Oryzias latipes: one gene and its partner. The protein of the gene in region 2 purifies or fractionates together with the protein of the main gene of each other region. This does not show direct contact. Links are inferred from orthologs where the notes say so. Each region holds a gene or a part of one and is shown on either strand. Other genes may lie near its edges. The genes, in order: rsu1 and alpha-parvin.

The links.
Region 1: the proteins of alpha-parvin (region 2) and rsu1 purify together in Homo sapiens (affinity purification with mass spectrometry; 3 studies listed by BioGRID and IntAct, counting the BioPlex papers as one, with this or other methods). This does not show direct contact. The link is inferred for Oryzias latipes from reciprocal best matches to the Homo sapiens genes PARVA and RSU1.

The regions. Positions count from the first base shown.
Region 1 is NC_019878.2:1,153,837-1,161,444, reverse strand, and holds the start of rsu1 (ras suppressor protein 1), read right to left. Parts: upstream 4,167-7,608; 5' UTR 3,498-4,166; intron 3,386-3,497; 5' UTR 3,382-3,385; coding exon 3,273-3,381; intron 1-3,272. Other genes in the region: trdmt1 (tRNA (cytosine(38)-C(5))-methyltransferase), read right to left, coding at 5,955-6,139. UniProt on the Homo sapiens protein: Potentially plays a role in the Ras signal transduction pathway. Capable of suppressing v-Ras transformation in vitro.
Region 2 is NC_019864.2:716,835-724,100, reverse strand, and holds the end of alpha-parvin, read right to left. Parts: intron 2,947-7,266; coding exon 2,874-2,946; intron 2,157-2,873; coding exon 2,080-2,156; 3' UTR 1,659-2,079; downstream 1-1,658. UniProt on the Homo sapiens protein: Plays a role in sarcomere organization and in smooth muscle cell contraction. Required for normal development of the embryonic cardiovascular system, and for normal septation of the heart outflow tract.

The DNA of each region.
Region 1 (7,608 bases), on a different chromosome or scaffold from region 2:
GTCCAGAACCACTACAACCAGTCCAGAACCACTACAACCAGTCCAAAACCACTAAATCCAGTCCAGAACCACTAAATCCAGTCCAGAACCACTACATCCAGTCCAGAGCCACTACAACCAGTCCAGAACCACTAAATCCAGTCCAGAACCACTACATCCAGTCCAGAACCACTACATCCAGTCCAGAACCACTACATGCAGTCCAGAACCACTACATTCAGTCCAGAACCACTACATCCAGTCCAAAACCACTACAAACAGTCCAAAACCACTACATCCAGTCCAAAACCACTACATCCAGTCCAAAACCACTACATCCAGTCCAGAACCACTACAACCAGTCCAGAACCACTACAACCAGTCCAAAACCACTACATTCAGTCCAGAACCACTACAACCAGTCCAGAACCACTACAACCAGTCCAAAACCACTACATCCAGTCCAAAACCACTACATCCAGTCCAGAACCACTACAAGCAGTCCAAAACCACTACATTCAGTCCAGAACCACTACAACCAGTCCAGAACCACTACAACCAGTCCAAAACCACTAAAGCCAGTCCAGAACCACTAAATCCAGTCCAGAACCACTACATCCAGTCCAGAGCCACTACAACCAGTCCAGAACCACTAAATCCAGTCCAGAACCACTACATCCAGTCCAAAACCACTACAACCAGTCCAAAACCACTACATCCAGTCCAAAACCACTAAATCCAGTCCAGAACCCCTACATCCAGTCCAAAACCACTACAACCAGTCCAGAACCACTACATCCAGTCCAAAACCACTACAACCAGTCCAAAACCACTACATCCAGTCCAAAACCACTAAATCCAGTCCAGAACCCCTACATCCAGTCCAAAACCACTACAACCAGTCCAGAACCACTACAACCAGTCCAAAACCACTAAATCCAGTCAAGAACCACTACATCCAGTCCAGAACCTCTACATTCAGTCCAGAACCACTACATCCAGAACCACTACATCCAGTCCAGAACCACTACATTCAGTCCAGAACCACTACATCCAGAACCACTACATCCAGAACCACTACATCCAGTCCAGAATCACTACAACCAGTCCAGAACCACTAAAACCAGTCCAAAACCACTACATCCAGTCCAGAACCACTACAACCAGTCCAAAACCACTAAATCCAGTCCAGAACCACTACATCCAGTCCAGAACCACTACATCCAGTCCAGAACCTCTACATTCAGTCCAGAACCACTACATCCAGAACCACTACATCCAGTCCAGAATCACTACAACCAGTCCAGAACCACTAAAACCAGTCCAAAACCACTACATCCAGTCCAGAACCACTACATCCAGTCCAGAACCACTACAACCAGTCCAGAACCACTACATCCAGTCCAGAACCTCTACATTTAGTCCAGAACCACTACATCCAGAACCACTACATCCAGTCCAGAACCACTACAACCAGTCCAGAACCACTACAACCAGTCCAAAACCACTAAATCCAGTCCAAAACCACTAAATTTAGTCCAGAACTACTATATCCAGTCCAGAACCACTACAACCAGTCTAAAACCACTAAATCCAGTCCAGAACCACTACATCCAGTCCAGAACCACTAAAACCAGTCCAGAACCACTACAACCAGTCCAAAACCACTAAATCCAGTCAAAAACCACTACATCCAGTCCATAACCACTACAACCAGTCCAAAACCACTAAATCCAGTCCAGAACCACTACAACCAGTCCAGAACCACTACAACCAGTCCAGAATCACTACAACCAGTCCAGAACCACTAAAACCAGTCCAAAACCACTACATCCAGTCCAGAACCACTACATCCAGTCCAGAACCACTACAACCAGTCCAGAACCACTACATCCAGTCCAGAACCTCTAAATTTAGTCCAGAACCACTACATCCAGAACCACTACATCCAGTCCAGAACCACTACAACCAGTCCAAATGCACTGAATCCAGTCCAGAACCAGTACATTCAGTCCAGAACCACTACAACCAGTCCAGAACCACTACATCCAGTCCAAAACCACTAAAGCCAGTCCAGAACGTCTGCATCCGGTCCAGATTCTCTGCATCCAGGCTAAGACCACTGCATCCAGTCCAGAACCTTTGCATCCAGTCCAGAACCTCTGCATCCAGTTCAGAACCTCTGAATCCAGTCTAAGAACTCTACACCCGGTCCAGAACCTCTGCATCCAGTCCAGAACCTCTGCATTCAGTCCAGAACCACTACATCCAGAACCATTACATCCAGTCCAGAACCACTACAACCAGTCCAGAACCTTTGCATCCAGTCTAAGAGCTCTACATCCAGTCCAGAACTTCTGCATCCGGTCCAGAACCTCTGCATCCGGTCCAGTACCTCTGCATCCAGTCCAGAACCTCTGCATCCAGTTCAGTACCTCTGCATCCAGTTTAAGACCTCTGCATCCAGTCCAGAACCTCTGCATCCAGTTCAGAACCTTTGCATCCAGTCTAAGAACTCTACATCCAGTCCAGAACCTCTGCATCCGGTCCAGAACCTCTGCATCCGGTCCAGAACCTCTGCATGCAGTCTAAAACTTCTGCATCCAGTCCAGAATCTCTGCATCCAGTCCAGTACCGCTGCATCCAGTCCAGTACCCCTGCATCTAGTCCAGAACCTCTGCATCTAGTCCAGAACCTCTGCATCCAGTTCAGAACCTCTGCATCCAGTTCAGAACCTCTGCATCCAGTCCAGAACCTCTGCATCCAGTCCAGTTCCTTTGCATCTAGTCCAGAACCTCTGCATCAAGTCTGAAACTTCTGCATCCAGTCCAGAACCACTACATCCAGTCCAAAAACGTCCCTGCAGTTCTACAATTGTATCCAACTTGAAAAGCTCTAGACGTCCCTGACGTCACTGTGACGCACACAGCTGGCTGCTCTCCCTGTTCCAGATGTGCAGCGGAGCCTTAAGTTCCTGTTTCTTATCAGGTAAGGATGCAGGGCCGCACGCGCACGCACGCTCCTGATGCAAACCCATCCTATGAGTGGCAGTTTAAAACTCCTGCAGCCCCGCAGAGGAGCCCCCGCAGGAGGAGCAGAGGAACCCCGCAGCAGCCCATGATGCGGGGAGACTTTCTCACATGGAGCTCTGAACGGGTCCTGTGTTTGCAGGTACCCCCCACCCCCACAACAAATCCTGCTTCCAGTTTTCTCTCTTTCCGGGACTCTGCTGGGCCGATGGACCCCACGTCCGCGGCCACGCCCCAGACCCCGTATGAGCACGAGCGTCTTACACAGTCCCGGGACGTCCAGCATGTTGGAGATGCCCCGGTCGGACATGTCCACCTCGGGGAGACTCTTGTCTCGACTCTCGTCCACGATCTTCCTCAGGGACTTGGACATCTTTCTGAAACGACACGGACACGGCGTCAGCTTGGTGCTTCCGGTCCACCGCGAGCGCGGCTCTGACCGTCCGCGCCTGCGCACCGCCTCAGGAAAAAGAGTCCGTGGAGGCTTACCGTTCTTCTGTGGAGCAGGGTTTCAGGATTTTAGGGATTTTTCTTCAGGATAAAAACTTCCCTTCCAACTCACAGCGAACCGGAAGTTGTACTGACACCCTACGCTCCATAAAAGGAAACTTCCTGTTTCTGCAGCGGGCGGGTCCGAGCTAACTCCACGGATCACCAGCACGATTCCTGAGCCTTTCTTTAAAAGTTTTCATTATATATTCGTCTTTTTACACCAATGATCGATATTGAAGCGGCAGCCATTAATAGTTTGATCTCGTCTGAAGGCAGAACCGGGACATCCTTCCCGAGGGGAAAGATCCTCATCTATCCCACAATGCTTCGCGGTCGCAAATTATATTTTTCCATAGAGGCTAAATACATGTTAAGATCTGTTTCTTTAAAAAACAAAGTTTAGTTAGAGGATTTTATTGTGTATTTAATATTTTTTTAGGCGGCTGCAATGGAAAACTTAATGACTGTAAATGTGACCGTATGTTTACAGTCAATGGGAAAGCATTACTTGGTTGATTGCAGTTCTCTGTCAGGTCATCCAAGATCATGTAGAGAGCATAAACCACTGTGTCCAGGATTTGGCTAGTCTAGTTTATTTTATCTTAGTAAGTAGCTATTGTTCATTTTTTATGACTGATTCTGTGTTTTCGTACAATTATTTATTTGAAGCCCATTGAGATGACTATGTTGTGATATTGGGCTAAATAACTACTTGAATGTGTAAGTCCTTGAATTGAATATAGCCAAGAATAAATGTGAAAACAGAGACAATAAAAACATCGGTCGCTGAGTTGCCTTTCTGTCCAGACGTTTCCACAGATGGTCTGACCGACCCACCACCCATTGGTTGCACAGGATATCCTTTTAAGTCCAGACCCAACACGATGCACATCTACAACCTGTGATTTATACACAAACCAATTGAGCAGATTCTATCTGAAATTATCAACGCTTTCCAAAAAATGTGAAAATCACGAAAAAGTATATTCTCAAAAAAAAATGTACACATTAAAACGCTACTACAATAAATTTTGTTTCAAACATCAGAACGCATTACTAGTTTCTTTTGTTCCTTTTTTTTTGCAGATGAAAAGGATTCAGTGAAGAAAAATTATTGATTTGTAGAAGTGGTTTCTGATTTGTGTAAATTCAATAAAAGCTAAAATACAGTGTATTTTTCATAGAACGCAAATATAACATTGAGCAAAATGACACAAACGTCCTAAAACTGGTATTTTCTAAAAATAATAAACATGAATCCACCGTGTCTGCAGCTTTTTTATCAGTGTGACTCATTCAAAAGTCAGTTGCTGTGTATTAAACAGAGCAGCTTCTACTAAAGTGAGAACAAACGGTCTTAATAAATCCGTATGTCGAGGAAAACTCATGTTTTTCTGTAAATAGCAGCCTTATGTTTTTTAAGTCGAAGACTCGGTTTTCTCACTGGCTCTCTTCTCCCTGAAGAAACAGCATTAAGCGGACCATTCTGTTGCGGACTAAAGCTTGTAAACAAAACCATGTGACTAAAGATCTTTTCAGTCATTGGCCAGGAACTGCCACCTGCAGCTAAAAGCAAAAATCAAAAGACCTTTTTTTTGCAGTTCCTTCACATTACCTCCACTATACGGTGATCAGTTTTTAGAAACTTTAATGTAAAATTTGACATCAGGTTTTAAAGACAAAATGAAAAATAATGAAACCCTCTGGGTCCCGGGGGCAGACCCCAACTCTAGTGTAGAGTAAGAAATGATTCATTCACTGCACATTAAAGGACAACCAGGACAAGCAAACCTTTGACAAACAAAGGTTCACGCTGACGTGAAGAAATCAGTGAGTAGAGTCAGAGCAGCTCAGGAGGAGACATGGATGAACACAACACCACAAAGTGTTGTTTAACATGTTCTTGTTCCAGGAACTCAGAGCATTCTTTCCATTTTTATTGTGGTTTTACAAAAGTACAAATCGAGTTTGAAATTAAATGTCAGGGAGAAAAGAGATAAACTTAACAAAAGTGTCTTCTTCTGTGTATGGACCATGTTTTTCTCCATGAACACTGGATGCCCATACCAAAGAAATCAAAGATCACTACATGGTGGATTAAATCAATTCATTTCTTCTATTCATTCCATTCATGTTCCCCATCAACTTACATTGCAGCATTTGGCTTTGAGGAGTCAAAACAGCAGCTTACGAGAAACAGAGCCCCGCTGGGACGGGAAGGCTTTTTAAATTCCTTCACAAGTTGAAGCTTTCATTGACTAAACGAAGGTGAGGAGTACCAGGACTGTGATGATGAGATCCTTTATGATGAAGATGGATTGCTGGAGTCCTACTATGAAGCCTCATCGTTCATCAAACAATAGAGCCAGCAGGGCCTGTAACAATGGTATCACACTGGACTGTGCCAGGATGAGGCTCACAGGAGGACCACTACAAGATGTCCTTTTGATTCATTTAAGTGTCCACAGCTGAGCCTGGCCTTGGTTCTGGGGGTTGTGGAGCAGCACTGCTTGAGTTCTCACAGCTGTGAGTTGGCTGTATGGAAAACAGCAACTGCACCAGCTTGGCCACCAGTAGAACGTTGAGACTGTTTCCCAACACGCGGTACCGCTGGATGGTGGAGATGTGCTCTGGAAATGCTGCAATCACATCCATAGAGAGAGGAACCGATCAGAGGAGATGGATGGCAGCGGCTTTTCACCTTAACCGCTTAAGACGCTAGCTAATATTAGAGCTAACCCTCTATAAACAGGTAATATGGGGAATCTTGCTCTGGGCCTTTACTTTCACACGTCTATTCTGACATATGAAGGGCTTGGCGTCATAGAATTCCAGAAACTGCATTTATTATTTTTTCTTTTAGGATCAATACTCAATGGTTACCACGCCTGTGTTTTGAAAAGGACTCCACCCACACGTCACTACTTCGTGTTCCTGACTGGTTTAACTTTTGATGCATGTTCAATTGCCGTGCGTTTTGCCGGTAGAGCCCAAAAATAGTCTTGCGTAGTGGCGTGTGAATGCGAGAGTATCCAACGTGGAATCCTGAAACATGCATATATGTGTGTTTACATAGATTTTTAATTGGAAGTGGTCGTTTCGGAGCACGGCGTGAACGTAGAATTCCATGTTCAATGAAAGTTTCTGCATGCAGCCAAAGCGGAGTAGCGTCATTTACTTTAAGGCCACAGATACAAAATGAGCTTTTGTCCACCTCACTGTGCCAAACAATTAACATTTAAGCAAACTGGTAAACTCTGCAGTTTATCACCTGCAATTTTAACAGTCCATGTAAATACTGCATCAAGTAAAAGCAGCAGAAACACAAGCTCACCAGGCACAGGTGTTTTTAGTGTTGCTCAGTAAAATAGAAGGTTGTACTTTTGACTTTTGACAGATCTCCAGTGTCAGATTCTAGTCAGACTCAAACTTTCTGTAGTTCAACAAACATTGAGTTAGGAGATTCAACAGGCAGACATTTTTAGCACATTAGCTGGTCATCAAAGACATTCTTCTTTGATCAAGCAGAATCTGCTTTATGTGTTCATAATGTGTCAAAGTCAAACTTATGCTAAGTTTTAGAAAACAGGCTGATGGCGTTTTGTAGTCCCTGATCCTTCTTTAATGTCTGAACTTAGACACTCACACGTTTTGGGCAAACATGGATTATTTTGTGACTAATCTCTTTAAACTGAAGACAACTTCTTTGTCTTTTTGTTTCCTATAACCCTTGTGCTATCCTATGGGGTCCAGATGACCCCACCCTTCCATTGACGTCTTCTCCCTAACATGACAAAGGTGGATAAAGGTGGAAAGACTTCATGTAATCCATGGACACCAGTGAAGATCACAAATCATTGAAGAAAAAAGGTTCAGAGCACTGTCTAGTGGGTCTAGATCAGTGTTTTTCAACCAGTGTGCCGCGGCACACTAGTGTGCCGTGGGAGATGGTCAAGTGTGCCGTGAGAAATTGCCCTCATTAACTGATCTAAAAGCAATTACCATCTCCAGGAAATCAGCTCTTTGTTCATCCAAACAGGCCCTGATAAAACACTGAGAAGTTAAGAATATGAAATATCATAAAATTAATTTCTTTGTGTTTATTTAA
Region 2 (7,266 bases):
CTTTTAACAAACGTTTTTGCATGGCGAATGAACTAAGTTGTAGGATTAGTTATTAAACCTGACCAGGTCGGTTTTGTCCAGGGCAGAAATTCCTCTGGTAGTTTAAGGCGCCTCTCACATTTAATCTGAAAATGCCAATACTTAAAATGCTCAGTGGCTGCTCTGTCGCTAGATGCAGCAAAAGCGTTTGACAGGGTCTGCTAGGATTACCTACAATATGTACCTGGAGTTTTTGGATTTGGAATATCCTTTCGGGAAGTTATTAAAATGATATACACTCACCCAAAGGCCGCCGTAACAACTAATGGATTAAGATCGTCACAATTTAATCTGGAACGTGGCACCAAACAGGGGGATCCCTCTTTTTATTAGTACACTTGAACCACTGGCACAAGCTATCAGACAGACTGACTCAGTAAACGGGGTAACAATGGGAGGGAGGCCTTGATAACAAAACGCTGACTTTTGCAGACGACATAATGCTTTTACTCTCAGATCCCCAAGAGTTATTACCCCACTTATTTAACCTAATTAAGGTATATTCAGAGCTATCAGGCTTCAAGATTAACTGGACCAAAAGTGAAATAATGCCTCTATCGAAATCTTGTTAGAATACTCAGATTCAGGATTTGAAGCTACCATGGACTCCAAAAATCTGTAATACCTGGGTTTACTTTTGAACCTGAGATTGGACAATATCATACAGGATAACTTTGAACCAACAATCAATAAAATAAATGTATTTCTGAATGGTAGGGATAAACTGCAGATTTCATTATGGGGTAGGGTCCAGGCAATAAAAATTATTATAGCACCAAAACTGAACTATTTATTTAACATGTTACCACTTACATTTCCACAATCCAATTAAATCCATTGAGAAAATGGTAAACAGCTTTAGTTGGGCTGGGAAAAGGCCCTGAATTACTTTGAACAAATTCCAGATTAGAATAGAATTCAGAGGATTAAGATTACCAAATTTGCAGTTCTCCAAAGAGGCCTTCACCAGTGCACAAATAACAACACTTTTATTAAACAAAGATGACAGACCAATCTGGGTGGACTTAGAGTCGGAAATAAACTCTCCATTCAAAGTTTATGATTATTTGTCCCAGCAGCCTACCGAATCGGTTCAATCGAACCCAATCATCAACAGACGCTGTCTACAACATCCACTAAGTTTTTCACTATAGCCCCAACTTACTGTGAGTCGTGTAAATTCACCTCAGGGTTTATCCTCAACACAAAACTGACTTTAACCCTTAATTCTCCTGTTTTGGGGGCATAGGACACTAAAAGTAATTGAAAAGCAGAGAAGAATCACAAACATGTCCATCCAAATGCCTCTGCAGCACTGCAACATTATCAATAATACCCCCCACAAAGGTTACTGTGGAATGTAAGGAGAATGAAGCATTTCACACATTCAGCCAGTGTGCCATCTTCCTGGAGCCACTCCGGGGTCACCTTCCATTCACAGAGCTTTCGCGCTGCTTTTCTAACAAACCATCAATTTAGTGAAAAGAAAATTGTTGTGGAGGCTCACTTGTCTTTCTGCGCCAACAAAATTGGAACCACTCTGACCCCAGTTTTTCTTTTGTTGGAGAAGCATTCCTCTTGGCTGGCTTTGAGAGGTCAGAAATAATAAGGAGAAATTGTTCAGCGTTCAGCCAAAGAACTGTTTATTACATGTAACGCATCTGAACATAAAGCCTGTTTGATGCTCCAAACAAAGGAGGGAAAGCAAAAACGCAGTTAGATTCAGTCAGACTGAGCTGGTCCCACATCTGCAACGCTTTTATGCAAGTTCAGCTACAACTAAACATCTACATACAGAAAAAGACTTGGCTTCCATGTTTTCTTCTGTAGCATTACAGCAAAAAGAAAAAAGAAAGGAGCTCATCCATCGCAGCATCCAGGAGGTTGAGCTCAAAAAGGCACTTAAGAAAGACGGAACAGTTTCCGAATCTCAAATAAATACATGATGGTGAGTGGAAGAGCTCTGCAGCAGAAAAGCTGCAGGCCTTCATGCGTGCAGAAAGTGGCGTGTGTTCAGGTGAAGCTGCAGCCACAGAGAGCTCAGTCCACGTTCCTGTACCTGGAGAAGAGGTTGTAGAGGACGCGCAGCGTAGACTTCAGGTCACAGTTCACGATGTCTGCAGAAACACCAGCATCCATTTAAAAAAGGCTTCATGAAAGAAACACTGAGAAACCAGACGAATACATGTCATTATCGTTTAGTGCGCCATTTTGCTGTTTAATGACCCTGGAGAACCCACTGGCTCAAATCTGTTTTTAAATTTCATTTATTTACCTCTATTGTGTTAAATGTTTGTATTTATGTATATATGTATTTTTGGTAGCTCCTAATTGCTGCTACCCAAAACAAATTGACAAAAAAAGGTCAAATTTACTTTAAAAGCCCAAAAGAAAAACTGTTCTTGCGCTCTCCAGGTTTAACTTTTAATTTCCTGAAATTGAAAATCATTCATTTAAACAAGCATAAAGCTTTAAATTCTTTTTTTTTTTAATCAAAGCACGTGAAGAACTGCTGTAAAACCTGATAAATCTGTGGAATCCATACATTTATAACCCCTCCACCCCACAGATTGAGCTCCAAACATGATTCATTGTGTACATTTATCCGTCTTAAGCTGTCAGACTAAGGCCAGGACCCGCTAGACCGCCATTCATGCTCTTATTTTGTAAAATCCTGTTGAAACGACGATAACTTGCTGCATCAAGGCTTTCATAGGTGAGGACAATAAAACGACTGAACAACAGAAAAACAGAAAGTATTCAATCCAGGCACTAAATATAAGGCTACAAGTGAAGCTACAAGAGAGCCAAAGTGATGTAAACATGCGGCGTACCCTCGGGGCGGGGCTTGGGCCGCTCCAGACCGCCGTCTTGCATCAGCTCAAAGGAGAAGGACACGTTGTGGACCTGCGCAGACAGACGAACACGTTAACGCAGTCAGAGGAGATGCTGCAGCTGCACGTGGAAACGTGGCGAGCCATCAGAGTGCAGCCGGGGTTATCCAGGGAAGAGCCCTAATGCCAGGGAGGGGTCCCCATCTGTCCAGCCAGCACACGACAGCAGGAACACCTGAAATCGAGGCTCCCTGATGAGAAAACCTGGAGGAACAAAACAGGAGCGATTCCACAGCCACAGAAAAAAGACAGTTGTGAGAGGAGGAAAACCAATCAAGGGGCAGGGGCGCCGGAAGACTCTTTCTATTCACCCCTGTTGTGCTGTGTGCATGTGTGTGTGTGTGTGTGTGTGTGTGTGTGTGCACTCATGGGGAAGGACTAGAAGCTTTGCCCATTGAAACCGTTTGTGAACTTAGTCCATCTGACAGAGGAGAGATCCGCTCTGACGTGAAGCAGGATGGCTTTCCTGAACCCCCCCCCCACACACACACACACACAAACACACTGCAGGGTTTCTGGCCTTCAAACACCCGCCACGCACACACGGGGGCCTGCAAAGCACTCCAGTGTTCCTCTGTGCAGCAGGAGATTAAAGGCGCTGAGGGCCGCTCTTCCGGGCCAGCACCGTCTCTGTGTGCTTGTGAGGCGGTGCTGGTGCCGAGCACCGAGGCCTATTTTACCAGCAGCTTGGCAGGGGATGCTGGCTGAAGCCCAAAAGGAGGCTGTCCCTGAAGAAGGCCTGTGCAGAACACCACAGTGCTGCGGAGAGGAGTCGCTAATCACAGTTGGAGCTCAGCTGAACCTGTAGGTTTGGAGTCTTCTAAAAAGGAAAGCTTTAAATACATTTAGAAAAAACTCCAGTCTACCTTCATTTATAAAGCTCTTCAATGTTCCCCTTTTGGGATCAATAAAGTATAATTGAATTAAATTGAATCATCTCCACAATCTCACAAAATCAAGTTGGATAAGATGAGTAAACATTTCTGTGGTATTAAGAGCTGCTTTTAAACCGTGGGCTTGAAAGTAAGACTTCAACAAACAGTCTGACATGGGGGGGCTGCAAAGTTTGGGGGCTGCTGCAGCAAAAGCACCATCACCTCTGAACTCACACTTTGTGTGTGTGTGTGTGTGTTAAGAACCAGCTGATCAGTTGAGCCTGGCCCGTTACCAGAGGGCAGTCCGCGCTGCCCAATGTGATTGATTGATTGATTGATTGTTCCAGTTTCACACTCTGTATTGGTGTCCATAATTGGACATGAGAACCTGGCTGAAAGCTTTCTAATGCTGCACCGCAGCGACCGCAGCTCCGCCTCTCCCATCTGTAACAATCAACCACTTCTTTTAGCATTCTGCTGTTAAGGAATTCTGTTTTAATTAGAAAATATAATGATGAAAAAAGGGGCGGTGCTACTGGTGCAATCAAAATGAAATCTAACTATTTAATCTATTTACAAACAAACATTTTTAGAATTATCACACAACCAGATTTAAGAGACACAGTCAAGACCATAAATATTTGGACAGAGACACATTCTTTCTAATTTAGTTTCTTGGCATTACCACAGTGAATTTTAAATAAAACAACTCAGATGCCATTGAAGTGCAGACTCTCAGCTTTTATTCCATGGGTTGAACAAAAAGATTGTATAAAAATGTGAAAAACTAAAGCATTTTCTAAACACAATCCCTTAATTTCATTAGCTTGTAAGTAATTAGACAAATGAAATAACTGAAAACCAAATGGTCATTCCTAATATTTGGTTGAAAAGCCTTTGTTGGCAATGACAGCCTGAAGTCTTGAACTCATGGACATCACCAGATGCTGGTTTTCTCCTTCTGAATGCTCTGCCAGGCCTTTACTGCAGCGGCTTTCAGTTGCTGTTTGTTTTTGGGCCTTTCTGTCTGAAGTTTAGTCTTCAACAAGTGAAATGCTGCTTAATTGGGTTAAGATCAGGTGACTGACTTGGCCATTCAAGAATATTCCACTTCTTTGCTTTAATAAACTCCTGAGTTGCTTTGGCTGTATGTTTTGGGTCGTTGTCCATCTGGATTATGAAACGCCGGCCAATCAGTTTGGCTGCATTCACCTGGATCTGTGCAGACAGTTTGTCTCTGAACACCTCAGAATTCATTGGGCTGCTTCTGTCCTGTGTCACGTCATCAATAAACACTAGTGTCCCACTGCCACTAGCAGCCATGCATGCCCAGACCATCACACTGCCTCCACCGTGTTTTACTGATGATGTAGTGTGCTTTGGATCAGGAGCTTCTCCATACTTTTCTCTTGCCATCATTCTGGTAGAGGTTGATTTTGGTTTCATCTGTCCAAAGAATGTTTTTCCAGAACTGTGCTGGCTTTTTTAGATGCTTTTTAGAAAAGTCCAATCTAGCCTTCCTATTCTTGAGGCTTATGAGTGGCTTGCATCTTGCAGTGTACCCTCTGGATCTACTTTCATGCAGTCTTCTTTTGATGGTAGACACGGATATTGATACGTCTACCTCCTGGAGAGTGTTGTTCACTTGGTTGGCTGTTATGAACGGGTTCCTCTTCACCATGGAAATGATTCTCCCATCATCCACCACTGCTGTCTTCTGTGGACGTCCAGGGGCTTCATTTATAAAACTTTGCGTAGGATTTGCGTCAGAAGTGGCGTACGGATGAAACATAGGACGTGCGTACGCACAGAAATATTCGGATTTCTAAAACCGTGCGCACGCACATCCTACGCATCTTTCCCTTAATAAATCACAACCGATTTTAAATGTAGCGCAGCTTTTGCGGCTTCATGACACACCCATAGTTGCCCATAAATAGTCCGTGAAACGCCCACAAGTTAATATTCATTGATTGCGAAACCATGCCAAACACTGAGAGAAAATCAAAAATACGTAACTTCACTCAATGTGAAGTAGAAGTTATCGTTGGCGAGGTGGAAAAGAGGAGAAAAATGTTGTTTGGAGGGCACAGTGTGGGCATTACTAATGCCAAAAAGGCCCGTGAGTGGCAAACGGTGGCAGACGCCGTAAATGCTGTAGCCTCACAACCTCGGACCGTGGCCGAAATAAAAAAGAAATGGTCGGACATCAAAGTCGAGGCAAAAAAACATCTAGCGCTCCATTGCCAGAGTGTCTCTGCCACCGGGGTTGGGGGGGTAGGGGGTGGGGGTGGTGGCACCGGAGCGCCAGATGCACCGGGTGACACGCGTGGTTCCTCCGAGTACTCTTCTGTAACGCCGGGCCCAAAAGCCCGCAGAGGTCCAAGAGGACGGCTCGAGGAAGTCGGAACCAGCTCATAAGCCACTCGTCCTCGTTTGCCAGCAAGTCTTCTTGCTGTCTAAAGATGCGTTCACTCCGAAATCTTCCATTTGCCACATCTTCTAAGAGTGCAAGATCAGCCATTGTGCGTCATTACGCATTGTGATGGGGCATTTTATTTCCATCCATTTAATTACATCTGACAAGCTACAGATGTCGGTAATAATCCACGTGGAAATGGGAAATTGATCAGCGCAAATGTAATTTCTTGTTGCTTTCTGAATGGTTGAGACATACGCCATACATTGTTTTATCAAAAATAAAACAAACTAAAGGCATATCCATGAATACCATAATTCCATAGCTTATGAAGAAATGTTTTAATATGAAAACAACTTTCCCCAGTGGACAATTAGTGCGTCTGTCTGTCTGTCTGTCTGTCTGTCTGTCTGTCTGTCTGTCTGTCTGTCTGTCTGTCTGTCTGTCTGTCTGTCTGTCTGTCTGTCTGTCTGTCTGTCTGTCTGTCTGTCTAATTGCACCTATATCTGCTCCGCCAGACGGACACATTAACGAGAATATCAGTTTTGTACATTATTTCGTTCTGTTAACTATATTATTTATGAGGATGAATTGCACAACATGCCAATATTGTAGAACATATTTCACTTTTCTTTTTGCAAATAAGTGTTCATTTGAATTTCTATTGCAATTTTGGTTTGATTTTTTTTGTTTGTTTCACTGCTGATCGATCAAACGGGTGTTCGTGTAGCTGTTAATTGTAAGACTTGCTTTGTGAAGTCTTCAATCTAGCCACAGGGGTTGCAAGCCAGTTGCCTCTGTGCCGGTCCCAAGCCCGGATAAATAGAGAGGGTTGCGTCAGGAAGGGCATCCGGCGTAAAAATTGCCAAAATAACCATGCGAATCATCCACAACACTTTAGACATACCGGATCGGTCGAGGCCCGGGTTAACAACGACCGCCACCGATGCTGTTAACCTACAGGGTGTCGGTGGAAATTTGACTACTGTTGGTCGAAGAAAGAGGGGAGGCAGAAGGGCACGTGGCCAGAGAGAGAAGG